Lepisosteus oculatus: one gene and its partners. The protein of the gene in region 4 interacts with the protein of the main gene of each other region in a pairwise test. Links are inferred from orthologs where the notes say so. Each region holds a gene or a part of one and is shown on either strand. Other genes may lie near its edges. The genes, in order: SH3 and cysteine-rich domain-containing protein 2, klhl12, znf276 and atxn1a.

The links.
Region 1: the proteins of atxn1a (region 4) and SH3 and cysteine-rich domain-containing protein 2 interact in binary tests that used the Homo sapiens proteins (3 or more experiments, as listed by UniProt). The link is inferred for Lepisosteus oculatus from reciprocal best matches to the Homo sapiens genes ATXN1 and STAC2.
Region 2: the proteins of atxn1a (region 4) and klhl12 interact in binary tests that used the Homo sapiens proteins (3 or more experiments, as listed by UniProt). The link is inferred for Lepisosteus oculatus from reciprocal best matches to the Homo sapiens genes ATXN1 and KLHL12.
Region 3: the proteins of atxn1a (region 4) and znf276 interact in binary tests that used the Homo sapiens proteins (3 or more experiments, as listed by UniProt). The link is inferred for Lepisosteus oculatus from reciprocal best matches to the Homo sapiens genes ATXN1 and ZNF276.

The regions. Positions count from the first base shown.
Region 1 is NC_090723.1:5,904,883-5,912,075, reverse strand, and holds the start of SH3 and cysteine-rich domain-containing protein 2, read right to left. Parts: upstream 3,015-7,193; 5' UTR 2,104-3,014; coding exon 2,014-2,103; intron 464-2,013; exon of another isoform or gene 1-463. UniProt on the Homo sapiens protein: Plays a redundant role in promoting the expression of calcium channel CACNA1S at the cell membrane, and thereby contributes to increased channel activity. Slows down the inactivation rate of the calcium channel CACNA1C.
Region 2 is NC_090700.1:30,399,855-30,407,305, forward strand, and holds the start of klhl12 (kelch-like protein 12), read right to left. Parts: upstream 3,007-7,451; 5' UTR 2,700-3,006; intron 1,454-2,699; 5' UTR 1,415-1,453; coding exon 1,334-1,414; intron 1-1,333. Other genes in the region: adipor1a (adiponectin receptor protein 1a), read right to left, coding at 7,205-7,333. UniProt on the Homo sapiens protein: Substrate-specific adapter of a BCR (BTB-CUL3-RBX1) E3 ubiquitin ligase complex that acts as a negative regulator of Wnt signaling pathway and ER-Golgi transport.
Region 3 is NC_090715.1:12,649,014-12,655,948, forward strand, and holds the start of znf276 (zinc finger protein 276), read left to right. Parts: upstream 1-3,927; 5' UTR 3,928-4,252; coding exon 4,253-4,478; intron 4,479-6,016; coding exon 6,017-6,332; intron 6,333-6,935. Other genes in the region: vps9d1 (VPS9 domain-containing protein 1), read right to left, coding at 164-236, 3,385-3,633. UniProt on the Homo sapiens protein: May be involved in transcriptional regulation.
Region 4 is NC_090705.1:39,523,496-39,530,936, forward strand, and holds the start of atxn1a (ataxin-1a), read right to left. Parts: upstream 3,003-7,441; 5' UTR 2,404-3,002; intron 1-2,403. UniProt on the Homo sapiens protein: Chromatin-binding factor that repress Notch signaling in the absence of Notch intracellular domain by acting as a CBF1 corepressor. Binds to the HEY promoter and might assist, along with NCOR2, RBPJ-mediated repression. Binds RNA in vitro.

The DNA of each region.
Region 1 (7,193 bases), on a different chromosome or scaffold from region 4:
TTTTTTGCTCAGTCTGTGCAGGTTTGCGCAGTTCAAAAGCAGCGTGTCAGGTGCTTGCGTTCCCCGGAATATAGCGCCTTGTCTGGCTCCACTACCAGATGAACAACACAGCCCCGCCCGCAGGCGCAATGACGCGCAGGAGACGAGGCTGGGCGCGCAGAGTGAATCGGTGACAGAAGAGCACGCGTGCACGCCCAGGTGTTGTAGTTTCGTGGCGATCACACAGACCCCACAGTAATTCGCGGTCATTTAACAGACCCCCATCCACACTAATCTTGGATTGTGCCGAGGCCCCATCGCTTCCGGCGCGCGTGCTGCTCGTGGTCTGCCAGCCCGGTCCATAGAGGTCAATTCAGCCGATGACCCCTCCTATGCGCTCATTCAAACAAAGAAGTCACAGCACTCCCAATGAGCTGGGGGCAGCTCAAAGATCCAGCGTAGTTCATACGTCAAGGAAGAGACCTTTCTTTGACGTCAGCGAGCTGCTGTCTGACGTCCTGTGTCGTGAGGATTAAAATATAGATGTCAAGGGAAACGGTATAAATATCTAGCCCGAGCTCGTTTATTTCAAATGACAGGCAGCTCTCCACGCTGGAGGAGAATTACTCACTGCTTCCTGAGTGTAGCGACGTTTCGAAGATACAGGCTTTAACGGAACAGAATGTCATTACCTGGGAAAGTCAGTTCAGTTATACAGTGACGCACATGGCTACAGAGGAAAACAGTATTATTCCATAACAAGGAATCGTTTCGTGAAGTTATACTGTACCTTTCGGTATAAGAACATCGTGACCCCAATACACTGACAATCGACTGAGTAGCTGTGGAATTTAACGTCAAAATATATTTATCCAACCACAGAGTAGTCTAATACTTCAGGTCTGAAAAAGACGACTGATACTATTTTCGGTTGCATGTTACAATATCTACATTGACCTGTACTGGGGAATCAGCGGTGTGTTTTACAAACCAGGACTCCCGAGAAAGACACGGGGCACACCTGAACTCCCCGGGTTCCGCCTGAATGAGCCCAGCCCACAAACCACTAGAATTTATACACAGACTTCCAAAAGACACGTTTCTCTTAATAACGCTAGAGGTCTGCGGTGCCTCTTAATACCCTGCCACGGGCGTGCAATTTAAGAGAAAATGAGAAGGCGAAAATAAAATAAAACATATTTGAGTAGAATCTCAATCAAATAGGCATGATAGTCTGTATCCCAGTGGGAGTATTCGGAAGCCTTCAGATTCATTCCTCGCCGCTGTGATCTGACAGCACGGATCACCGCCAGCGACAGTTCACCTGCCAATGTGTTACCGCGACTTCACTCCTTCGACAAGATTATCGCTCTACCTGTCTGCTAATATGTTCTAGGCACGGTATCGCCGACGGATTCCAGTTCCCGTGGAAAGACTTTAAAACCTTTACTTTAAAAGGCTTTTGCATGGACAGGACTCAGACAATATTGCATGAGCACCGTGACAGGTATGCCGGGCCACCTGAGTCCGCGAGGCACGCTCTGCTGCTTCGAAACCCGCGCTGTTCACAGACTGTTAGAACCAGAGAGGTCCACTCCAGTCAGAACAGCCCGCAACTGATGTCATCCGGGGAACGCCAGCAAAGGCGTAGATGCAGGTTTAAGTGTTAATCTCTCATTTACATTCCTATCAAGACACCCTTCTAAAACAATAATTATAGAAACCCGCTATCTGAGGTCCACTCATCAAGTTTTATTCTCCCGTTTCAAATCGGACAAATGTCATTTTACAGGACGCCATATTTACAGAGCCTATACCAAAAAAAAACAACCGACAAAAGCTGGTCACAAAGATGACTTGGATGTGTCACGACCATAAAGACAAGGGGGGTCATGCATTCTCACCGGGGTCGTGTCGCTTGTGTCATACGCCTTCTGGCGACAGTGGCCTATTATCGGGCTTCGACAGGTGATCAGAACCTGTCCGCGTCTCGCCCTGGGGGGCGGCGGCGGCGGCGGGAGGGGCAGGTCTTACCTTGGACTCGGGCTGGACCGACACGGTGCCGGGGGAGCGCTGGAGATCCCGGTTCTGGGGCTCGTTCTCCTTCTCGTTGTTCTCCGTCATCGCTCCGGGGTCCCGGCTCTCGCTGCTCGCGTCCCGGACGGTTCTGCGCCGCGCTCGCGCTGGAGGCTGGCCGGCGGCCCGGCTCGTGCCGCGCCCGCGAGCGAGTCAGTCAGGAAGCGGTATCCGGCTGAGCCTGCTGAGTGCAAGTGGGTCAAATCCTCCTTTTTATTCGCAAAGCATATTGACGATTCTCTTCGCAGGGAATGACAATACTACTGAATTACGGCTTATACCGTATTGTCTCTTTCACTTAATGTACCATTTCGTTCTGTTCAGGTTAGCGATGCTCGTATATATATATATTGTTTTTAAAAATCAATTATTTTTTCAGTTTCTTGCGCGGCAGTCACTTTTTGCAAACTGCCACACGCGTCAGCATTGCCTTTGGTGTTATGTAGCCCCCATGCATTGAAACGTACACACCGCAGAGGATAGTAACACTGGTAGCAACTCTCTTTTTCAGAAACACAAGAAAACCAAGCCGCAGTGGTCTGAATCCCAGTGAAGTGCGCCTGTCCTGCGACTCAGTCAGATCAGTGCTTTTAATTCCAGCGCTCTCAGATATACTGGCCTCGGTGGCGCTATCGACTTTGCAGTTCGCCCTTAATCTAGCCCAGGTGCTGTACTGGTGGAGCACGCCAGATCTGCAGCCTCACACGCGCCTTTGCTACAAGTTTGATTTAATAGAATGCCCGACCACGCTTCCGCGGCTCTGTGATTGGAGCGGGGTTCTCTTTGATATGCTAATATCGACCGCCGTCCGCACGGTGATTGGCCGCTGTGTGTGACGTCGCCGCGCCGGGGCGTGTCTCTGGGCACAGGTAGATGTTTTGGTACCCATTTAAGGTGGCCCCAAGAAAAGGAGACGTGCTCTGTTCTAGAAAGAATATTGTGACAGTAATAGGAGAATCACAAATAAAAAATATGACTTCCTTGTTTGTGCAAACATTCGTACGCACGGTTGATTATCATTATTGAAATTAAATGCATTTTGGCACCAATACGAACTGCAGAAACAACATACTACACTTTCAAAGTCAAAGGGCCTGGTAAGACAACGCTGATAGACAACGGGTCCTTAACCAAATGGATCTACACACACAGGAGCGCAAGAATCAAGCCAGGCAGCATTGCCGCGTGTTGCGGACTGCATCCCAGAGAATGGGAAATGAATTTCCTATCGGCGAATGATCAAATGGTTTTCAGGGGCGTGAACACCGACGTACAACCCTCATCTCGAAAACCCGCTTTAGGAGAAACTCGCACGTCATGTAAGACTCGTGATATTTAATGACCTTGCCCATTAAAAAAAAGAGAGAGAAACCGTCTTCGGCTTGATCACATTTTGTTCTCAGTGAGCTGCAGAACGGCCTTTGCCAAAGTAATAATTCCTAATGCCCACCTTTACAGCATGAAAACAGCCCTACTAGACCCGAGCGTGAACTTCACCACCTTTCCCGTGAGGAAGACCCCCAGCAGCAGCTCCAAACGTGCCTCCGGAGAGGATCTGATCGCACCCCAGGCGTTACTAGCAACGCGCCTCGCGCGCCAGCACGCCCCCCCCCCCCCCCCCCCGCGCGGAGGGGCGCTTTAATGTGCCCGATGACTCAGTCGCGCGCTAACTATAGAAACTATTGAACGAGAATTACAGGTGTGCGCACGCAAACGGCGCCTTCTGAACTGCCCAGGAACAAGTAATAGGTTTATTCCTAGTCTAACCCCCCGCTGAACTGCTCGACCAGACAGCCTCTTGACGCGCTCTTAGCAATTTTGTTTTAAGCATGGCGCGGTGCAGACAGCGGTCGGTCACTCCATACAAGCTCGTTGCCTCAGCAGGTTGTATTCGGTCCCGTGCATCTCCAGTCAAGGAGGGGGTTAGGGGCGAGGTCTTTGACAGCGCTGCTTTGATCAGCCTCTATGGGCTGTTCTCGTCTCTCTGCGCGATAGTGGGAGGAATATACCCACGATCCTGCACACTCCACGGCAGCGGACCGGACTCTGGCATAACGGAGTGACTCGACATTACCGTAAATAACCAGAGAGAAAAAATTCAACTCAATTTGTACAACAGCTTGGGAAAAGTGCTTTGGGAAAACGTTCCAGCGGGCACCCATCTCCTTCCCGAGATTCCAGCATTTTCTCCCGTGGGACTGGGAGGGAAGCACTAGTGACCCACGAAAAACGAGTGGACAACAACAGGTTTTGCGGTCGACTCTAGGTGCGCCCAGTCAAGAACAACACGCTCTCTAGCGGCTGTTCTAGAAACTAGAAGTATCGAAGCGATGGTCGCTCGTCTCGCTCCATCCTCGCGGCGTAGCAGTACAAGAGTCTGGAGTGCGTCATGTCAGCCGACGTCATTCAATTGGCGTTGACCCTTCTTTTTGCCCGTTTCGGAGTGAAAGTGCCGAGGGCCGCCGAAGACCAAACTTCGGGCCTGTGTGTAAGAACGTTCCCCCGCGGGGGAGTCATGTTAGCAGGAGACTTGAACGGACAGGAAGCGTGTGGCGGCTGTCTACTGCTCTGGAGAAGGCGAAGCAGTCTGGGTTATTACAGAAAGAGGCCATACTGCTCACCACCACGCTCGCTGTCTTCCAAGCAGAGCTATTTTTGAACACTAACTCCTGTCTTAGCTGGTGCCAGCCTTTCATATTCTCGGAGGGGGGGGGCATTGTGGTACAGGGGGGTGGTGGTAACACACATATCTCAAAGAACTAGAGCACTCCAGGCTCCGTGTGTCTCTCTGGAGGGGGGCAGCGTGAGGGGGGGACACTGTGTGGCTCTCAGGTATGCTGGGACTGGGGGTGCCGGAGGGCTCGCTCGCAGGGCGGCTGGGGCAGAGCCGGTAGTGGCCAGGTGTGGGCGCACGGCGTGTCTCCTGGGGACATGCAGGACCACCGCCGCCTCCTCCAGCACGGGCTGGTGGAATGGCGCAGTTTCTAATTAAAGCCCCTGTCATGTGTGTGCGTGTGCTCTGTGTAGCACTGTCGAGATACAACAGCACACAGAAACGCGTGGGATTAGACAGCCAGCCCGGCAAAGCAGCAACAAAGCCTTTGAAATATATCATCCTCTTCCCCTCAAATTAGCATAACACCCTTCTCTGAAGCCCCTTATCAGTCCGCTGTGCAACCACAGTCTCTCTCCTCCAGCGCTGCTCGTTTATTTACAGAGGAAAAGCCATCACAACCAGCGGCGTGCCAACACACACAGCAAAGGCTCACTCCAGGTCACCTGAATGTTTAACAGAAGCGTTTTAATGAGAAGTCCTTGATCTGCGTCTGTGCACGTATGCACACAGATGCCTATTTTGCAGTGACGTCTGCCACTGTTTCATCTCGGGCTTTTCAGAGATCACAGTGTCGCTGCTGAAGGATTTAATGGACACAAGGTCATTCTGAATTGTGTGCTTTCTTGTGCATTGAATTCTAAAGCATCACCCTGATTTAAAAAAAATCTCTCTAAAATTGCAAACAGATGTCTTCACCCCAAAACTACACATCCTTATTACCTGTACAGCGCTTTGAGTGGAGTGTCCAGAAAAGCGCTATATAAGTGTAAGCAATTATTATTAATGTCTGCAAATGATGGTGACATTTTCCAGAGTAGCCCAATATCTCCCTATGATGGTCCATGAAGGTGTTGACTCATCCCTGAGACAAAGTTCACTTACACTATCTTAATATATCAGGGGTGGGCTCTCCTGGTGCTGGAGGGCCAGTCTGTCTGCAGGATTTCTAGGTCTTTTCAAAGCAGCTGATGAACTGGAAGAAGCAGTTAAACTGGATAAACTAATAATGAGCTGATTTAGGAGCTGGGATGGACACCTGCCCTCCAGCACCAGGAATGCTCATCCCTGTACTATGAGGTAAACTCAATTTAGCCAGTTTTCTTCTATCTCAAGTATTCGCGGGTTGCACAATGACTTGAGACATAGAATAAAAGCATCCATACTTTTATGCAATACCAAGCTTCAAAGGATCTGCTGAGAATCATGTTTCAAAATAAGCAACAAAAGTAAAAGACAATATTCATCTCTGCTGCTGGTAGCAGTTGATGCCTCTAAAAGTACCCTCCGCCTTCATTTTGTGGGGTGTGGGATTGGGTAAAGGAATCATATGAAACTCCTGAATTGCAAAACATCACAGTGCATTACATATTTTTTGAAGACTATCGAGTATCTAAAAAATAAAGAGCAAAACACAGACATCTGCATTTCATCTGCTTCCTGAGTTCTGCAAATGTGAAGTACTGCAACCCCCTGCAAAGACCAGCTCACACCCTCTTCGCTCATTGCAAACACTGAGACATTTACATGCAAATGAGCATGCAAAGAATAGGGGAGCGCCTCGATACAGCACTGATTCGGGTGCAGACGTGAGACGCATACCGTCGACCGTCTCCTCCAAAGTGTGATGAAACGAAATGATTGTGCATAAAACTGGGCCAGCGTGCTAGCAGACAAATAAGAGTGAAGAAAGAGGAGCGCGTGTTCATAACACCGCTGAAGCTGTCCCTTGTATTCAAATCAAAGAGCGCTGTGTTGCTATTTATACATGAATGTCAGCATAAATTGCATTCATCAATTATCACTGACTGTGTTGTTATGCTTGCTGTCTATTACATTTAATGCATCCTTCTTTCAAGGGACATTTTACTGAGCTTACTTACTCAGCTAATAAACCAAATATCATCCATCCTGCCATTATCTGGAGACTGCTGATGAGGATAGCAGCAACCCAGAGCCTGTTCTGGGAGCACATAGGATCAGATGGAGTTAGCACTGCTGCCTCACAGGGCTGGGTCCCTGGGTCCAGTTCCAGACCTGGGGTGCTGTCTGGGTGGAGTTTGTATGTTTTCTCCATATTCATGTCACACAGTCCAAAAACATACTGGCAGCTTAACTGGCATTTTGGGGTAATTGGGCCTGGTGTGAGTGTGAATCTGTGTGTGTCCTGCCCTGTGCCTGTTGCTTGCCAGCTCTGGCTCTCCAACGGCCCTGAAGTGGATGGAATAAATGAGTGGATGGAGGTGCAGGACTCATCCTTGATGTTGTAAAAAGGAGACGGGAAAAGAGAAGACAAAGGAAAAGA
Region 2 (7,451 bases), on a different chromosome or scaffold from region 4:
TCCTGAAAAGTACTAACAAACTGAACACAATGGATTACTGCAGGATCAACTGGGAACTAAGGATCCGGGAACAACAAAGAATATTAATGTAGAACTTTTAAAATTGTGAACATTGCTTTATACAAAAGCTATCTGGAACAAGGAATAATTATTGATAAATTACTAAATACCTGTTGCATAAGACAGCTTCCAAATGAGAGTAGGAAATTTGGTAAATATGTACATTACTTATACATCAACAGCCTGATGAAGCAGATTCTCACTTGTCAACCTGATCTGCTGTGCAGGGGGTCTCCTGGTGCAGAATGGCTTCTGTATGTCAACGAGGTGAGGGATGCACTATAACCTATGACTGAATTGCTATTATGGAAACCTTTTTAGGAACCTTTAGGGTGAACTGCACTTTTTAGCCCCATGAGTCTGGTTGGTGTACCAGTGTGAGAGCAGTGTCAGCACCCTGTAGCTCGATCTCATGAGATCTCAGAGGATAAGCAAGGTTGGGCCTGGTCTGTACTTATATCTTCAGGATAAACAGGTCATTGTTGTAAGTGGCACTTGTAGACCAGAATCTGGTACCCTTTTTTCTGGACTTCAATTTCCAAGAACAAGAACCACTAGCAGTGGCCCCGTGTCCTGGCCAAATTGCCCCCTGGCCTTTATCAATCATGGCCTCCTAATAATCCTCATCCCTGGCTTCATCACTTTGTTCTCCTCCCCACTGATAGCTGGTGTGTGGTGAGCATACTAGCGCTCTACAGCTGCTGATGCATCATCAAGGTGGTGCTACACATTGGTGGTGGAGGGGAGTTCCCTTTATCTGTATTGCATTTTGAGTGGAGTGTCCAGAAAAGCGCTATATAAGTGTATGGAATTATTATTAGTAATAGACGTAGTACACTGGCTGAAGATACTATCCTTCACAAGAGACATTAAGCTGGTCATTAACGATCCTACTGCACTTTTTGAAAAAGTAGGGTGTTGTATCAGTACCCTGGCTAAATTTCACTCTTTGATTGTACAGTGTGGCTTTGCAAAAGTTCCCCGTGAATGTAGCTAGAAGTAATTTCTCGTTTCCCACCTCATCGACTGTTTAGCAGCACCACTGACAGAGAACAGCGGCCACACTCACTCAGATGGGAACTACTCATTAATGATGGATGAAAAAACGGGGTTCCCTCCTACACGTAAAGTGCTTAGGGGACTTTTGGGATTAAAAGTGCAATATAAATGCAAGGAAATTTTATTAATACTCTTTTAAATACCACATACAGGTATATACAAATTACATAAAATAGGTTTTGAGAAAAACAGTGGCAGTGGTAAGAATTGCTACCTCGTGGAGCTGTGGCCCTGGGTTCAGCTCTGGACGTGGGGTGCTGTCTGCGTGGAATTTGTATGTTCTCCGTCTGTTCATGTGTGTTTCCTCAGGGTGCTTCCGTTTCCTCCCGGTTTCCTCCAACAGTCCAAAGACAATTAACTTGTAGGTTAATTGGCTTCTGAGAAAACTGGCCCTAATGTGAGTGTATGTCTGTTTGCCCTGTGATGGACAGGTGTCCATTCAGGGTGTAATCCTGCCTTGTGCCTGTTACAGAGATAAACTCTGGCTCCCCCACGACTTTGAAGTGGAAGAAGCCATTAGAAAACGGATGAACGGAGGAACGTTTTTCCAGAAAAGCATTCTTGCCTTAGCTGGTACTGTCAGACGTCGTGTTATCTAGGTGAATTTTTTTATTTAAATAATTTGAAAACAATCAAAAATTCCATAAGAAAATAGCCACTGGCTATCTCTAGTAACCGTTTACAGTATAAACTACAGTACATTGTTTCCAAGGAACTAATTGTAACTAAGGAAGTGCACTACTCCAGCGCATGAGCAGTACCATTGTGGACGTCCATGGCCACTGATCCTTGGTTGTCATGCCAACAAAGGTCAGGGGTCAAAAGTGATACGTCACAAAATTTCGTTCAACGAAATAAACATCGACGTCCTTGAGTTCACGAAATGAGCAGTGACAAAACACAAACGGTATTCCGCTTCGAGCGCACGACTTGAATATCAATTTGCGATATTCGTATACAAAATAAACATGTTTTTGTCTAAAAATTGAAAGTCTGTATGTCATTATATGGGTAGAGTAACACAACTGTCTTTTGTGGGTACAATGAAAGTTGTTAGTTTTTCATTTCGTGTTGTGCAAAACAAAAATCAATTATGTAATACATTTCATGTTGGGAGTGTAATACGACAAACGGCGCCCTTCAGTCCTGGGTACCCCACGACAAGTACAATCGGGCATCCGGGTCACCCTGCAGCTCACGGCCGATCGATTTCACAAAGCTTTGCTGCTAATGCTGGTCCGAAAAGCACCAGTTAACATTGCAGTTTAACTTTACAGTGTGCCAAATACGTATTGTGCACAGACCCGTATCTGACCGCACGATTTAAGAATGATTTACTAAGAGAATCCTATTCGAGCACGAGGTATCATTACGAACAGAATATGAATCCAGTGCTTACAAGATGCAAAATACTGAGGTATATTATATTTATTTTCCTAGCCGGTGGACATGTTTATAACAACCAGATCACTTCAAGGGGTCAAATGCAACAGCCCGTTATATGATTTTAGAGGTCAACAAGCTCAGATGTAATGTTATTTGAATGCAGTGTACTTTATTGCGGACAAAACGTTATTTACCAGCAGATGAGACGCTCCGGTGATTTGCACAGTTACAACCCCCAGCAAAGACGCTCCATACTCCGGCGTATCCGTCACTCCCACACCGCGGTTCTTCTCCGCGGCCCGCGTCTGTTGGGATCTTTCTAACTAAAATCAAGTGTTACCGAAACAAACGTCCAGGTTTCTAATCCTCTAAAAACAAGATAGTTTGGTTAGCTCGTAACTGTATTCAAAATCCCCACAGTCACACAGTTTTCATGATTAGCACTGTGCTATCCAGGAAGATAAAAGTCCCAGGTACCAGTTGCAAACACAACACAATGACGTCATGGTCACACACAAGGTCCACACGCCCGAGGATTCCCACGGCCGTGAACGCGCCTTCTTTTCTCTATTAAAAATGCTTAAACTGCTATTTAATGTAAAGAATCTGTGTATAAAATCACAGTTATGTTGCAGTTTACATAAATGTGTAATACATTTACGTGATAGCAGGTAATTATTTGTACGAGTATTTACATATTTAAGAATTTGTTTTGACATTATTGTTTTATTTTGGCTTTTCAATAACCCCAAAAGGCCCCCTTCCTGCCGCTTTCACAGTTCTTGTGGAGTATGGAATTAGAAATTAGCTGAAACACTAAGACAGATGTTTCAGATCATGGAAAAAAAATATTATGAGGTGACGGTTAACTGCAGTGTTTTTGTTTTCACCGGTTTATTTAAATAAAGACAGCGTGTTCATTACTGGAACAAAAAAGCAAAGGACACAGGGGTAGTTCCCAAACCGGGGCTGAGAATCACAGCTCCAGCTGCTGCTGTTAGTGGTGTTGTTGGGCCAGTAGGTGGTGTTCTTCCATCCTGACCACTGTTCAAAAACCAAGGTCCCAGTACGATTGGGATGATGATCGGGGACACCGTGCTGCAGGAGGTGCTGGTCTTCGGGTGATACATTAATCTGAGGTAACGACTTTGTTTAGTAGGGGTGTCAGTTCTGGTGTCCTGCTTACTTCTACCCTGGGCTTGTACCATGTAGCTTACCCTGTATCTTCCCTTAATTCAGTCGAAGCAGTTTCTCATTTCTCCCCCTGACCAGCTGTGCAGTGGGACTGCTGGTGCCGACCAGTGGTGCCTCTCAGGTGGGGGCTGTGCTTCAATGCTGGAGGAAGAGGGGGCCTATTTCTTTATAAAGAACTTTGGAATTCTTTAGGATGGAGAGCAATAGTAGAATGCAGCTTTGGGCTGTGTAATTATTTCAGAACCTTGTTAAGTACTTGCCATACCTACACGAGATGCCAAAAAATAAAAAGAGGCACAGCTCATCTTGCAGCAGAATCATGCTTTCCTTTCAGCAGATGAGGCTGCATTATGATTTGTAATTGTAAATCTTTGACAAGGAAAAGGATATGACGAAAACCCAATGCCCTGAGGTTGGGAGGCAGAGGCTGGGAGTTTAACATGTAAAGAGTAACAAAATAATCCATACATTTTCTAACGGCTTCTAACAATTCGGGATTGCAGGGGAGCCAGAACCTAACCTGGCATAAAACTGGTGCAAGGCAGGATATACCCTGGACAGGAAACCAGCCAATCACAGGGCACGCACAGAGACAAGTACACACACAGTCCCACCAGGGCCAATTTTCCCAGAAGCCAATGAACCTACCCGTATATTTTTTGGACTCTGGGAAGAAACTAGAGTGCCCAAAGGAAACTCACACAAACACAGAGAGAACATGCAAACTCCACACAGATAGCACCCCGGGTCCAGAATTGAGACCAGAGAACCCCATCCTAATCACTGTATCACTGTACTGCCCCTTATACATTAATCACTGATCACAACTGCTAGAGCCCAGTGTTGAACTGGTTAATCATCAAGGAGAGAAGCGAGGGGCTTCTTGGATGGGTAACAAAAGCAACAAGAGAAATGGTTTCTAACTGTAAGCTTTATTAAATATTTAATAGAACATCTTACATCTAGATATACAGGCTGTGGCTGGAAGGGAGAAATGGATGATCACAGGCCTACATGAAAGGACACGCCATGCGTGTTCAACGCAGTGTTAAAAAGTCTTTGTTAAGCACCCAGCTTTAAAGAGACTTAAAAGAGGCACACCCCTGTCTACGAGCACAGCAGCAGAACAAGCTTATCGATGGGCTTCAATGAACTCTAACTGCCAGATCAAAATGAAAAAGCCACAGATGGAAGAAAGAGAAAAATGATGTAGTCACTCAAGATCCAGGTCAAACTGATTTAGTTGCAACACATTCTGAACTGGCTGCTCCCTGACTGCTCCTGGTGTTTAAAGTGCACCAGACCTTTACAAAGTTTGTCCCTTTTTTATTTCCATTTGCTTAAGGCACAGAAAATACTAAGGGAACACACTGCATCGGGGAGAATAACTAGTTAGATTAAAATCCACCAGATGGTTTATTTTTCCCCCATCAAAGGTAACAATGTTAATAATTTGCTGACAAAGTGGGTTAAGCGACCAGGGAAGTTTATGTCTACAATTTCCACTGATGCCCACCGCACTTTAGATCTTGCAAAGTACATGCAGTGTTTCCTGGACAAAATGTATAAAGGGAACAACTCCTAGAGTACATCAAACTGGAGTCATCCCACATTCGTCTTGATCTGCACTAGTTTTGAGATGTAAAAGGTAGCAGTTCAGTATCAGTCTTCACAGTTCCAAACAGTGTTTTAACTGGGATCCTTGTATCTTAAATCAATATCTCATTCTAATGTACAGCAGTTAAAGTAAAATCATCTAAATTGTCCCGCATCTTATTCAATACGTTGCTGTGTGCGAACACAGCTGACATTGTTGCATATTAGACTGATATTGACCATTTTCACTACTCTAGCAAATACAGTTTATGAAAATGAATATCTGATGATGTGGGAGGAAATGGACAGGGGAAGAAAATTAGTGTTGCACCATACAGCCCATCGAAAAGACCTTGTGCGTTATAAGTCTGTGCAATGCCAATAAGTTACCTGCTCCATTTCCTCCCAAGCCACAATGGGGAAGTGATTTCCAGAGTATGCGTTTCGAAGAAAACCGTTAGATGCCTAAGACAGCCCAGAAAGGTACAGACAGTGTTGACTGCTTGTGTTTCCAGTCAGGTTTTTACATGATGGCGCTCAAGAAGAGCGTCAGTTAGCAGAGTTCGTCACGTTACAAATTCTGCCAAATTCGGTCTCCAGGTTCCCCGCCAAATACTCAGGTTTTGAAAAGAGGGGTACACTTCACTAATCAGTCTGTCCAATGATCATAGACAAGATCAGAGCTAATGAAGTTACAACAGAGAACCAACTGCCTCTTCGTTTTTAACCGGCCTGCAGAATTTCCATAAAAAACAAAACGGGAAATGAATGTAAAAACCCATTTCACAGACTTTTGTCAAGAACAACTTTTTAATGGCCACTGATTCCCCCCTCTCCGCTACTGATTATCTCTTGGCTGTTAGCTTGATTCACATTCCTGCCTCTTCAATTACAAGTAAAATCTAAAATCCCATTGTACCTCATTCACTACCACAGCTATGGCACTCTCCCTTTCTCATATAAAGCCTGTCTCCATTCAGCCCTACTTTTCTGCTCCAGAAGGCGATCGCCTTCTTTCTCGAATTTCCTCTGCCATCACAATCTCACACCAACAGCTTAAGAGAAGGATCTCATTAGGAATCAGCTGGACCGATACACTATAACACCTTTCTCCAGAGGAGAAAGAGTGACGATTTAAACAGACAAGAGCTCTGCAGGATTACAGCTCTCGAGGATCAACTGGGGATCTTTGAATTCATGGATTGAAGGGCGTCGTCAAAGCATTTTCGCGCCGGGATTCAGAGCTGTATGGATCTGAAAGGCAGGCTCTGTGTGAGCCTGTGGGCGGCGTTACAATACCTAGATCAAACGAACCTGAAGGACGAAGAGGCAGGAATGAACGGCCAAGACTCAAACCGACACCTGAGCCCAGGGAGTCAAGAGAGACCAGCACGTCCATAGCTGACTTGTAAAACGCTTTGTCCAGCACCTTTGCTCTCTGCCGATTTCCTTTCCGACTTGGTGTGCGCCCCACGAAGGACTCATGGAGGCCTTCTCTAAATTTTTCCTTTGGGTTCGGATCACACCGCGCCTCCCTAGCTACACCTACAGGAACGCGGCAGCCTCCAGGAATGCCTGTCGGAAGGGACGCCTCTTAGCATCGCCGAATCTCTCGATCCCTCACGGCGAGCCATGTACTTTTGTTCAGCACAGCCCCCCCCCGCCAGAAATGTATCGTTCGAAGGCTGGAGGATCCAAGCAGGAGCTCCAGGGAGAATGCCACAGGGCCCCCCCACGCTCCAGGGCCCGAGGCCGGTCAAGAAAGGATATCGGCAGGGAGAGGCTGATTCTACACGGGGTCCTGCGAGCCCCAGCGGCACTTGGGAACAGTGGGTGCAGGCTGCCGTGTGTGTGTGTGTGTGTGTGTGTGTGTGTGTGTGTGTGTGGTGGGGGGGGATGCGGTGTCCTCTCAGAGCAGCGAGTCATCGGTGCAGCCCCCTTCCAGGCCGTAGCGGAACTCCTGCAGGTTGGACACGCCGTAGAAGTGGATGAAGGCAGCCGCCACCACCAGCACGTGGAAGATCTGGTGAGACTGAAACTGAAGAAGCAGAGCGTGAGATCATGAGACACTGTGAAATCCCTCTGCTGAAGCCCTGCTTTCCAAGAGCAGAGTTTTTTTTTTGAACTTTGTATTTAATGGTGAAAGTTTTCCAATA
Region 3 (6,935 bases), on a different chromosome or scaffold from region 4:
TTTTGATCATTACTTATCACTTTTTCTTGAACATTAACTAAGTTCTGATATAGGCTTATGATCTAATTTCATTCCTTTAATCAAGAATCATAGCTTTCACAATTATTTCAATTGCCATTTCATGGACTTTGAAGTGTCATGTAGCAAAAACAAAGCTTCTTACGTTTCGGCACGGCCTCCTCCAGAAGTGCCTGGGAAATGTAGTTAATGCTCTTCAGGTATTCACAGTAAGCCTCCTGGGGACAAAACAAAGCAGAAACGTGAGCGGTCTTCTTTCAAAGCTCTGTCAGCCTTAAGTACGGATTTGAATTTTAGACTTTTTTCATTATGGAAAGCAGACTGTGGCTTCCAACACTTGAGGGCGCACGGCTCACAGAGCCAAAATGTTGAATGGAGTTTCATGTTCACAGCACAATTTGAAAACTAAGCAGTAACAGACACTATTCTCTAATTGCCATGGGGCTGTGTAGATGTATTAAATGTGAGAAGCATCTATAGGAGGGTTACCAGGGATTTGATTATAATTTTGCTACACATTGGTGGCACTGGAGGGGAGTCTCCATTCTGGAGTGTCCAGAAAAGAGCTATATAACTGTAAGCAATTATTATTATAATGTCCACCACAGGCGAATGGACCTTCTTCTCTCTTGATGTCTTACACTTGATGTCTTACACACAGAGGTCTGAATTGGGTGGGGGAGAGACACCCTGTGGGAGGGCTCCCACCCCTGGACAAGATGATCGCAAAATAAATTATTTTTACAAAGCAATTAAATATTTAAAAGAAAGAAAACAAAGCTGCCTACTGGCTTAACAACCGTGCTTTAGCCAGACACCAAAATCTTCATCTCTGTGGCTTGTGGTTTGCGGGGAATTTCCGTGCTTGCAGTTTCAGTCGCACTAGCCTTCCAATCGATGCGATCTCTGACATGCTCAACAGCAGCAGTTACAAAAGTGTGACTGAGAAGCTTCCGAGGAAAGCACACCGGGCCTGCCTCCCTTCTGTTCCCATCAGAGTCCCCCAGAGGTAAAGGCCAGCTGATTCACACAGGACAATACCCAGATTCTAAACTGAAATTTGCAGTTTCCAGAAAAATAACAATAGTAAGAAATGTTTTCTTGTGGACAAACAAAAATAACCCCACAGCACTTATAAACATCACGGAAGGGTGGAAGGGTGGAAGGGAGGTGTCTAACAGCTGTCTTCTGAGTTCAGCAAATTTCTCAGGGGACATTTTCCATCCCACCTTCAGAACAACTCCACTGAGTTTAATTCTCCATTGATCAGGTTCTCAGCTGATGATTTACTAGCTCATTTGAAAAAGAGATCTTGATAGCAGCCAACTTTTTTTAGGAACCTCAAATTTAAATGAATAATCAGAAAAATAAAGTAAGCAACACTATAGCGGCCTTTGAGTAACTGGAACTTTGTGTGCATACGCTGTTAAACCCGAAACCACTTGCTATATTTGTACAGTATAAGAATATTTTCCCAGTACGAAACCAAAAAAGTCAGAAACAACCAAATAAAGATATAAAATCAGTCCAAAGGGTAACTTATATAACTTCTTAATTAAGTCACAATTTTGGGTAACTTGGTCCTCTCATCAGTCATATCAGTACATTTGACAGCACAACTCGCATATGCAAGGGCATGTGCCTGTAAATATGGCCAGAATATTTAAAAACATATTTTAAAAGCAAAGAATGTTATGTAAAACATGGGCGGAGTGGTGGCTCTGTGGCTAAGGATCTGCGCCTGTGGCTGGAAGGTTGCCGGTTCAAATCCTGTGGCCGGCAGAGGAATCCTACTCCATTGGGCCCCTGAGCAAGGCCCTTAACCCCAACTGCTCCAGGGGCGCTGTACAATGGCTGACCCTGCGCTCTGACCCCAGGCTCTCTCCCTGTCTGTGTGTCTCATGGAGAGCAAGCTGGGGTATGCGAAAAGATAATTCCTAATGCAAGAAATTGTAAAGGGTTAATAAAATAATGTGAATGTTAATGTTAATTAAAGCATCACACTAGGTAACCAAATAAGCAAGGCAGGCCGAACTGACCTTACCTTGATGAAGTAGTAATACTAGTTTCTGAATATTATCAAAGTATTTCACATGACAGAAATAAACATTAAAAACAGGCAGTAAAGGCTACACAAGCAGGGGTCATAGCAATCTATTTAAAAAAACAAATACCAAGAACGGTAGTTATATACTTATTTTGAATAATAGAATACAAAGTATTATTTTTTCATTGAGGTTATTTAAGATGATAATACAATTTAAAAAATTGCACCTATTATTTAAAAGGAGGCATCTTTTTATCTGTATATCCAGCATATGCTTTGGAAGAAACTAGGGACGAGCAAATGAGGCCGACGCATATACAGTACAGCAGATAGCAGCGTTGTGTATGTGGGGGGTTGTACACGATAGGGGGCGCTCACAGTGCATTTGCAACCGTGAAGATTCGTCTCCTCCGGCTGGCACCCGCAATTCAAGCATCAAAGTGCATTCGTCCTGAACATGAAGGACGCCTGCAACCTATCACAACATTTAGATTTGTGAGGAAGGGAAGTGTAAGTATGCTGCAACACTAACGAGATACTGTAAAGCGCTGATCAAAATTACCTTACTGATATGCGTCCATAATATTTTTTTAAACTGGAAAACACTATGATCTGTTACAGTCCAATTAAAAACATACAACAGCATAGCCTGAAGCTGGAAACACGGTGATTGCATTGTAAAGTTTTAACTGTGGTCTAATCTGTGGAGCTTGAAAGGCGAAACAAACCCCCCCAAAAAACTCAATGAGTTAAACGTAAAGTCAAAACTAACGGACCCCTGTAGTGTTGACAGTCTCTACCTTGAAACGCTCAGAAACATCGACACCCCTCACCCAATGAAACAGCACTATTCACAAATTCAAATTCCTTTAGTTAATAAATACAGCGCATCACATCAATAACTACAGATATACTGATGATACTATATCGACGTGTATCGAACACCATTTCACCCCAACGAGTCGCCGGAAAGACTCCAGCTGAATAAACAGATTGCAGTCGGACAGGAGGTGCCATAATACAGTAAATGGGAATGCGTGTTTCAAACCAGAAATGTGACATAAACTGAAAAAAACTGATAATCGAAAAGGCGCATGAACACATTTCTGTCCGTATGAAGGGAAACGTGAATTGCAGGCTCATTAAATTTCAGAAAAACGCCTTTTATCGCTCGGCTGGGGTACGACTGCTTCATGACGACATGTAAACAGTGGGGTAGCGGAGTCAACATTGTGTCCCGTTACTGGATTTTAACAGACAATCCAAGGGGTGTCACTCGTTCTTTCTCGCGTCTTTGATAAAATATGTGTACGTTTTACCTTTTGTCTGTTCCCCGCGTCCAGTTCTATAGCGACATTGGCTAATTTCATGGCATTCTGGAGGGGTTTCAAGACCCCGTCCGACGCAGCGGCGGCCATCGCGGAACCAAAGATCTCGCGATGGTTCCTCAGCAACCACCGGAAGTTGGTCGGACAGAATTTCATACAACACCCACCACCGCTGGTGCGTGTGAGACTGCACGGAACGTCAGATGGGTGTATTTTTTCACCTACATTTGCATATCTCATTTATTCAACGGGACAGTTTTCTTCTAAAACTTTAGTAGCATTAGCCTTGTCAATCTTTTTTTTTTTCCTGGCTGATGATGGCACCTTTCCGGGCATTGCTCCTCTTGTTAGGGAGCGTCAAGTCCCTGATCTGATTTGAAGTCAGTTGTCACCGTTTCCACTGCGTGACAGTACTGACTTCACACTAGCGGACCCGAGGTGGCTCTCTTTCGTGTTGGTGCTGGGTCTGGGATGCGATGGGAAGAAGTCTCAGCAGCCCCGTGTTCCTGCGGTACTGCCACACGGCCGGTAGGGGCGCTGTGCCGATCTGCGGCCGAGTCGCTTCTCATGGTCGCTCTTGAGTCTCTCCCCACTTTCGCCACTTCCGCTCCCACTTGTTTACTTTCGGCTCTGGGCTTTTTTTTTATGAGTTCTTTTTTTAAAAACAAAAACCGACCAGATATTAAAATTACGTTACATATAGGCCGTGCAATATTACAAAACACGCCCATGCTTTTATAACCGGCGGGAGGGGGTGGGTATTTGATTTGGAAACAAGAATCTGCTTCCACATTTCGCATCCATGTAATTACAATAAGAGAGAGTTTTAGCGTTCTTGGCAGTGGTGGGGAGAGTGGGCATGAAGCGAGACCGGCGCGGTCGTCTGGCTGCCCCGGCGCTGCAGACACGGTTAGGACAGCAGGCTGCGGGGAGCAGGCGGGGGAGACCGAGGTCTGCAGCCAGGAGGAATGTGTCCGGGGACCGGAGCGAGGGCAGCAGCAGCGGCCGGGAAGAAGGCGGCGGGCTGGGACTCGCCTCGTTAGATGTCGGAGGAGGGGGTGCTGAAGGCGGACCGGAGCAGCCGGGTTAGTGTGTCAGTACCTTCACTGCTTGCGGTGTTTTTTAAACACTCCTTGTGTCCGCGCCAGCAGGAGTGTGCACGGCGGGCGCCCGGTGCCGGGGTGCCCTTGAGCGCTGTGCTCACATGGCAGCCCCCGCTGTCAGTTCGCTCCTCTTGTGAAGGGCTGCCGCCTGCTCCCTCTCAGAGGTAGATTTTGAAAGCGATTTCTCCTACAAGGAGTTCCCCAGGCCCCGTCAACTAAAGTTTGTGCCAGCACCCCGAGGACCCCCGATCAAGTGGACGTGCCTGGCACGGATGTTATTTGCTTAGGGGGTTGCACTTAACAGTTTTAATGGGGCAGGACTTTCATTTGCAGCGCAAGTTACAGTGTCGGGCAGTTGTTTCCAAAGATCGTTAAACTTTACCTGCAGTCAGCTTTTTGTACTTGTTTTCTGAACTTTCTCTAAGGCAATAAATCGCTGCGTGGTACAACGATCAAAGCTAAATACAGAATTCTAAATGAGGTCTTGTTAATGTATTGTAAGACTTGAACACAACTTCTCTTGACTTGAATTACAGGACTTTTGCTCTATACTGTCCTTTTTGCTTTTTGTTGCTTCCCTGCCTGGCATTGATAAGAACATACAATAATCTACGTAGTCATTGGGGCAGAGTGGTGGCTTTGTGGCTAAGGATCTGCGCCTGTGGCTGGAAGGTTGCCAGTTCATATCCCACTCCGTTGGGCCCCTGAGCAAGGCCCTTAATCCCAGCTGCTCTCAGGGCGCTATACAATGGCTGACCCTGCGCTCTGAACCCCAGCTTCTCTCCCCGTCTGTGTATCTGTGTCTCATAGATAGCAAGCAATGCAAAAAGACGAATTCCTAATGCAAGAAACTGTATGTGGCCAATAAAGTGATGTTATGTTATGTTATGTTTTATAGACACCTTTTATGTGTGTCCTTCTGCAGTTTAGACGCGGTCTTGTAATATGTGTCTGTTCCTTCTTCACATATTACAAAGTGGATCACTTTGCACACATTTGCCAAACGTCTGTCCAGTCTGTGATTTGGGTTGAGCCTTTTGCTAATTCTTTGGCTATCGTTTCTGTTCGTCACAACCCGTCTTTTTGTATCGCCTGCAAATTTCACTAGTTTTCCATTTGTACCAGAATTTAAATTGTTGGTGTAGCTGATATGGATTAGAATTCTATACATATGGGCCCAAGATGAGTCTCTGTGGTACACCGCTGCTTCTGTCTGCCCAGCTGGAGGCTAAGCCCCTTAAGGTTCTGCTGTAAATGCTGGGTGGGGTTTGTAATGAGCCTCAACCGTGGACCTGTTTTTGGATGTCGGTCCTCGTCATCGTGTTGTATGGAATGCAAGCAGAGATGCTTCTGCTGAGCGAAGAGTGTTATGTTCTAAATGGCTTCTCGTTTGTGCATCGAAACAGATAAGCATAAACGCCGTTGATTTAAATTGCAGTGCAGGTGTAGATCATAGGACTGAATTAAAATTGGGGTGGGAGCAGCCTAATGACCGTCTGTTGTTCTCTTTGGCCCTGCAGGCTCAGGGAGGCTCACCACGGCGTTCTGCCGCCTGTGCCACGGCAAGTTCTCGTCGCGCAGCCTCCGGCACGCCTTCGCCAAGCTCCCGGCCGAGCTGGGGCGGCCCCCCGGCGCCGAGAGGAAGCACCGCGGCCCGCAGCTCTTCTTTGCCGATTTCCAGAGGCTGGTGGGCGTGCCGGTCCACCGGGACCCCCTGCTGTCCCAGTTCGTCTGCAAGAACTGCCACAGCCAGTTCTACAAGTGTCACAGCATTCTGCGCACCTTTGTGCAGCGGGTCAACCTCTCCCCCTCCTCCAGAGACAAGCCCCGGGGCAGGTGAGGGAGCAGGAGGTGTCTTCCTGGTGCAGCTGGTACTACCACATGGCACAGAGAGATAGATCCAGGCGGCGTGCCGCGCCAGCTCACCCTTGATCTCACCCGTGCATTCATTTGGCAGCGAATCTCCGTTTGAATCCATGTTTCGTAAACCTTTGGGTGGAAGGCCGCCATGGATGTTGTTTAAAATTACAGCTTAAAACTCTTCTACCAAAACATTCCACAACTGCAGTGTATTAAAACAGAGTGGGTCTGAAAGTTAATCTGATAGAGGCACTTGAATGTACTAACAGAGAAACAAGTTGCAACCGGTATTGGAGAGAAAAAAAAAATCGTTAGGACTAAGCCGTCCTGTATGTAGTTTTTTAATATTTTACCTTGAAGTGACGTTTTATTGCCAGTATACTTTTACAAAACCCACATTCAGTCCTAAATGTGTTATTGTGAGAGCAGAATTGGGAAGAAAACTGAAATTAAACAGATTGTGATTCTAAAGTAAAATGGTTTTCTACCTCGAAAGCATGTTTCAGTTCGATGGATACATTTTCAAAATGACAGACGTTACTGCATAATTTAAAGAGGATTTGTTTATCGATTTCACTG
Region 4 (7,441 bases):
GGCTTGTAACTGCAAGGTTGTGGGTCCGAGTTCTGACAGCAGTTCCTCTGGTGTACTCCTGAATAATGTGCATGCATTGTTTCAGGAACTTCAACACTAGATAAATTCCTTAGCCTTCAAGAAATGTGTTAGATGCTAGCTTATACCACAGCTTTGTCCCCTTGACAAAAAAGAACGTTTCACTTTATAAAACTGTGCAATAACCCATGCAGAAAAATGTCTTTACCCTTAGAAAACCTTTCTCCTTGATTCCATATTTTACAAATACAAAAACCTCATCCGCAATTTCTCAATCCGTGCAGTGATGCCCAACTGTGATATAAACTAAATGCTGTAAAGGTTAATCAGAAGAACGTTATTTTTTAATCTGATCGAAGAATAATTCTCTTAATTTAAACGTAATTGGAATTATCTGCAGCAGCAGTGGCCTTATAGTAACAGTGTTGTAATCACAAAACTAAACCTCAAGCGGTTAACTAAAGAAATTGGCGGCAAGCGAAGATTACTATGCAGTGCCCGTGAAACTGGAGAACATAGCCCGGCACAAGGCAAACACACCTGAATGGGTGAATAAATACTGTCTGTTGCCATAGCAGCCCGATCTAATTGCTTGATTGATCACGGCTGAAGTAAGAGCGCCGCCAGTCTGCACTGTGGACTGGAAATCTCCATGCCGCTGAAGCAAAGCTCCGGTGAGGCCATCAGCCTCGGTCTACAACAGTCCTCTCTAATACTCTCCTTCCATTCAGTGCAGAGCGCGGCTGGCAATGTTTCACTATGGGGGAAGTTTAATTTGCTCCTGATAAAAGCATCGGAAGAGCTCACTGTCAGTCACAGCCAGAGCTAGGATACCGAGAGCCCTGTGCCTCTTTTTTTCCCCCCCACACACGTACTGTATATCCCAGTTCTGCAGACATTATTTTCACCTTTTCAAAGATCTCAACGTCGAACAAGAGCTGCCCGCCTAAAAATGTAGACGGACCTCAACTTTGCGACTTCACAAACCTCCACCAGTGCTGGTAACGTCGAAGCAGTACAATAGCGTCACGAAAACAAACTTGCGAATGCAGACAGTTCGTGTTAATGTCAGATTGTGAATACACCGAGATGCCAGGGAGGAGAACCTGCCTCGTTAGTCTACTACAAAATATATATCGCAGCACGGCGATAAATTGGTGGTTTTTCTCGGTCTCCCCCCTCTCTAAAGACCAACGCTAAGGCAAGTAGCGTGCAAATCCGCAAGTACCCGAGCAGAAGTTGCAAAAGCACATCGGTTTAAAAGGATTCCCTAATGCACACAGCCTTTCGTTACTGTAAACAAAGTATAAATAGCCTGCAAACGCTGAGATCCCAGCAGCCTATTATATAACAATATAGCTAGCTGGGTTACATGACATCACGGGCAAGACTTAACAACCACTAGCCGTAAGGAACGGGGGAAAAAATGTCCATTTAAACCGAATTAATTTATGTTTGGGTGTATTTAAGAAACGTCATAGTGAATCGGCATGTATTTTCTAAATATGTGTATGTTTGTTTTCTTTAATGTTACACTTACTATAACCTCGATACAAAAGGCATAGTGGTGTTAAACTAATATACATTTCTGGGCATGGGCCAAATAATATAACGCATAAGACTACCCTTAAGAAAAAATCGTAATGCAGGGATGATGAAGCTCATAATTGTGGACTGTTTTTCTTTAGAAGCAGCTACTGTAACATTTCTAGGTAACAGGGTTATTAAAAAGAGTTACATTTCTTTCAACCCAGAAGAGTGTTGCATTTACGCAACGCACCCACACGCCTGTCCTTGGAAAGAGCTGCCCAGCAATAATAAAAAAAAAACCCCGCTTCATAAAACTAGAAACAACACGCTTATCTCGTGGATTACTGTACTACTACACACACACACACTATGGACACATCGATTAGGAAGTGCTTTCTGTAATGCGTCCTGAGCCCGCTAGAGGAAGTGGAGTGACGCAGCGAGACGCGAGAGTTGGTCCGACAGCAGCCCCAGCTCAGTGCGCTTCTCCTCGGCTACCGCGCCTCGCAACATCCGCCGCACCGCCGCCTGGTGCGCAGCGCAGCGCAGCGAACGGGCGCACGCCTCGCAGTGCACGTCCAAGGACGCCCGGGGCGAAATTTTTCCCAGACCCTTTCCTCTGCGTAAGAAGTTATACCTCCTTTCTGGTGGTGGTGGTGGTGGTGGTGTTGGTGTTTTTTTTTAAGAAGGTGGGGGGGGGGAGAGAGAGAGAAAACAACGCCAACTGTGATCCATCGCGTCTCCCTTCCTAGTTCCTCAGAGCCATTTTCCTCACTTCTTTGGGGAGGAGAAGCGGCGACGGAGCCGGGGGCTCCCGAGGCAAGACATCACGCTAAATAAATCGCCGGGACTTACTGTACGGTGTAATGGTCTGAGGAGGGCAATGCCTTTCCTTGTTGCCAGGGCTGTTTTCCTGCAGTGACGGCGGGTCCGTCTCCTCTCCACTACTAGAAGGATGTCTGCAGCAAAGCGAGGCTAGCTCTCTCTGTGTCGCTCGCTGTTCCCACCTCTCTCTCTCGCTCGCTCGCTCTGTGAATGTGTAATAGAAGCCAAATATGGAGCAGTTGGCCGCCTCTGCAATAGCTCCAGGATCCTTCACTATGCGAGGAGGGGATGGAGGCGAAGCCGCTCTCTGGCACGAAGCCAGGAGTCGCGGATTAAGGCATACCCACACCACACGGAGTTACGGAGAGCTTTAACTCCTTCGCCGCCGGACGTTTTTGTCGTGTTGTTCCCCCCCACCACGTTTTGTTTTCTGTGGACAGCTGTGGTTTCTCACAGTTTCGTAGACGCCAAGATGAAGTTTACGGTCTCGTTCGGGGAAAGCGGTCGTGGTGCATGCAGGTGGTGTTAGCTTTTATCCCGAGCGAAGCCCTGGCACCTTAGTGCAGTCGAACAGGAGCTGCTGGCTTGCCCGGGATTTCAACTCGCTACCTTCTAGTAAGGCGCCCAGAAGCCCAGAAACCACACTGCTACAGTACTTCATTCAACGCTGTGATCTGCATGAAGTCACAATATGTATTAACTCCTAACCAAGTGACTCCTTTCAGCGCATGAAAAAAGTAACATTGAAATGTGACAAGTCACGCCTAACTAGGTGCTGCGTAGACAAATGCCATCGGTTAAAAAAGGTGGTTAGTCAAGGATACTATGTTCATGATAAACATCATTACAGCCAGATTATTTTTCTTCTAAAATACATCGAGCGCATAGGTTTTGTTTGCACTCCAAACATAAAGATAGCTTTAAAACATTTTCTTCTCCTGGCTAAATTACAAAAGAAGAACATGTTTATATGTTGTGTATATGTTTGTTTTCGTTCTACTGTGTCAATATTTCCGGATTTTCATAACTGACCGATTCCAAATTGTTAGTCTTTAAAAGAAACAACAAACAAACACCAGCCATCAGGTGAGCAGTCTATTGTGTCGAAAAAGCAAAACGGACAATTGAAAATCCTGATTGTGACAATAAAATCATATATTTAATTTCTAAATAACACTTGAGCAAAGCTATGCTTTGGGTCATAATCTTAAAGTTACAGTGTCTCTAACTGTAAAATTTTAAAAAGTAAAATTGCACATTTTTCTTGTGGCCTGTGGCTAAGAGCTGTTCTTGGAAAATACATTGGTCCACAGGCACCTCCAAAACTGCTGTACTGTTCAAGTCAAACAATATGTCTGACTGGTATTTTTAATTCCATGAATCAATTTTCAAGCCATATGAGAAGAAAGGGACATGGGACTGAGATCTATTACCTTAGACCCTGAAAAAGAGTTTCCTTCAAGAACAATACTGTTGAAAACTGACTCCAGTGTCCAGCAGGCCCACACTTGAGTAGAAGAAAAGTCAGAAACCAAATTTCCCCCAAAGGCAGATCACTCTTAACAGTTGACCATCCTCAAGTTCAATGCTAACATCTACGATAGCAGCATCTTCCAGTAAAACCGCCTATGAAACGCCTGTGAACTGATTAAATACACAGCCAACCTGGGGAAGAGCTGTTGTCAGGATTTACATCATTAATATACTGTAGGTAGAAAAATAAAAGCTGGCCCCTACTCTATTGCAAAGTTGTATGACATTTCAGCTGCAGGTTCAGGTATCTTTGCTGTCGGATTTCACATACACTTTTTACTGAAAGGAGTTTGGAGTTTTTATCTGACTTAATTAATGTAACCCTTTAGCTGAAGGTTTGACTGTTTAAATGTTTTTAACTGCTTTCAGCACTTAAAATTTACCCAGCACTGCTGTCTGAGGTTTCTCTATTGGTCTTTTTTTATGATGGATTCTCAGTTGAATCCTCATTTTAATTTTGATAAAGCAGCCATTGTAAATTAGTCAAGAAAGTCATTAATCGGGACTGTGATGTGTAAGCTTTGCTGGTCCTTCAGGGTCTCCAGCCTTGTTCTTGGAGAGTTGCTACCCATCCAGTCTTACATGTCAGCATGGCATCGACATGGGACGTAACTGATGACTGAAAAGATGGAATCTGCTCAATTTAGAAATCATTTGGAAACAAAAAAACTCAGTCCTTGAGGACTAGAGTCCCTTTAGACAAATGCCCTGCTCAATAGATCAATAATGTACTGGAAAGTGTTGTTCATCTTTTTAGATCCTGGTGATATCTCCAGAATCTAGTTTTCAGAACCCCCTTTTTTCTGTGGGGGTTTCTATTAACTGAACGGGCCTCTGGAATTTAAGTCACTGAGATCAAGTGACACTAAAGCCCAATTATATTCAAAAGTTAAAATCTCAAACCCATCACCACTAACCAACCAGAATATCTAACGGCAAGTTCCCTGTTAGAGGAAATACAGTAGGAGCTCCTGTGGCACAATATCAAGTAGAGTTTTTATTTGGGACTGACAAGTGAGTTCAATTTATTTTAAATTCTGGCCTAAATTAATGTTTGCCATGGGAATTCATGGTACTACACAATTCCCTTATGTCACTAAAATCACTGCTTAGATGTTTAGTGAGGTGAAGAAGAAGAGCAGTTTCTGGAAAATGTTGTGCACATGATGCTTGCTAAATATCTTGACAACTAGCAGGGTATTTCTGAAACACATGACTGAGTGCAGAAAATAGCCCAAACAGGGTCTAGATCTAATTAAGAAACTGTTCAGTTAAGGAATCAATTAGTCAAAGTAATTAAAAGCTCAGCTACTACATAAACTAAGAGATACAGTATCCTGGGGACTGGGGTTTGCTAAAGAGCTTGCTGGAAAAATAGTTTTTTTCTGTTTTACTGTCTTACAGTATGAATAGTTTTTTTTACGGTATAGAGTACTTACTCTATGAAGTGGCTTCATTACTCTGCTCTCCTTCCCACTGATGTGTGGTGAGCGTTCTGGCGCACTATGTCTGCCGTCGCATCATCCAGGTGGGGCTGCACTGGTGGTGGTGGATCATACCCATATTATGATAAGTAGCTTTGACATTTGTCCCGGCTCATTTCAAAGTGAAGTGAGGACTAGCACTGTCAGCATCTCCCAAGAGAGGTACAGTAGTTAGACTCTTGCCCACTATAGGGAATCGTCATTTCAAGTCCTGAGCAGCTGTATATTAGACAATGAAAGGCACACAGAAAGCCAGCATTCATTTTCCAATTTCACAGCTCGGCTTCTACTGATATTGAACAAATAATATTAACGGTATGCTGTAGATACAGAGATCGCTGATCACAGACAGTAGTCCTAAATAACAGTTTCTTTAAAACAGCAAAATACTACGGATTGTCTGGAGCTTGTATATTTACAATAAAGCCTTACATTTCAAGAGGCAAGAGGAGATGCATTATTTCACCTACTTGCATCACATGTTTCTAGAAAACAAAATGCAACTTGAAAAGGTTATTTTGATTGTGTAATCCCACTTTACAGAAGTGGCTACAAATGGATATTGAACTGAATATTAGAAGAATACGAATTGAATACATTCTGTACTCTGACTCCTGATGTTGATGACTTCTATCAAAGAGTCAGGGTTAGAATTAGGGGCAGGGTCTTTCAAATGTGATAAGCTTTGGGCCTGAGAGAATACACATAAGACATTCTAGCATTGTTGCTTTGGTAGGGAACCAGAATTCCTTAATATTCTGTTACCATCAAGTATTTCCTAAACAGTGATGTTGCTGACAAATTTCTGTCAATCAAATACATCAGAAATTAGGTACTTGCATGGCAAGCCTCACAATCTTTGAAATCGTGACCTTAAATAGTCCCCAGTTCATCTTTCTGAAGAACAACATTACGCATACTAATGACATTAACACCACAACCATCCGTGATTTCATCATATGTGTGTAATTTCCTTAAGAATTTCTCCTTTCTCAATCAACAAAAAGAGGATGATAAATTATTTACTGTACAACACAGAAAGTATGAGAACAAAGATTTTTCTTAAAGCAAACACAGCCAGGATACGTTTCATTTAATAGGGGCTTCATCTATACAGATGGCAGGAATTGGGGGTCAGTTCTAACAACTAGCAGTGTTTCAAAAGGTTCGCCTGTTACATATGGAATTCTGTGTAAAAGCAAGGTAGTTCCCTTCTAGAATACAAGGTTGTTTTTGCTTGTCATCTAGCCTAATTAAATTTGGCAGTTCTTGTAATAAATATAGCATCTTAAGAATCAAGGCTTCACATAACACTAAGGTACAACGTGAAACTGATAAAAGTGGGTTCTCATAAAGAGACAGCTGATTTAAATGATTTAACGATTTCATATCACGAAGTACTGAAACATCCTTGATAATGACCACATCCTCAAATTTTCAGTCAGGAAAATACTGCAAGGAGAGTGATGTTATGACAGCCATGTTTTATTTCACTGTTTTGTGGGAAAGAAGAAAAAATACTACAGGAAACTGAAGAACTACCATGAAGTGAGACGTTGTCAATTCCAAACAACGCTCACTATCTGCAGAGCGAATGTGCTTTTTTAAAGCTGCACTGTAGCTGGAGAAAATCTCTCACATTTTGTTATACAGTATATTCAGAGACACCCCTTTACCCAGGACAGTACATACTGGCAGTAATGGTGGTCTATGAACGTACATCGGTTTTCTTTTTCTTTTCAGAGCCTATAAAAAACAACACTTGGAGCTGCAGCCAGATGTAGTCTTAGGCTCCTGTTTTATGGTTCCTCTGCGGAATCTTCCCCTTCCATTCTGAGCCATGCCAAGAATCTAAGGAAAGGATACAATTTTAGTCATAACTTCCTTGTTTTGGTCTTTATGCAAAAAAACTTTTTTTTTTAATGAAAGTTCCGAAGAGCTGAAAGTGGTGTGGTCATCAATTTACACAATTGTAGTACTGAAGAGGAACATTTAAAAGGATGGTCTGTACTGTTACTTTACATTACTGCACATTACTATATACTTGATAT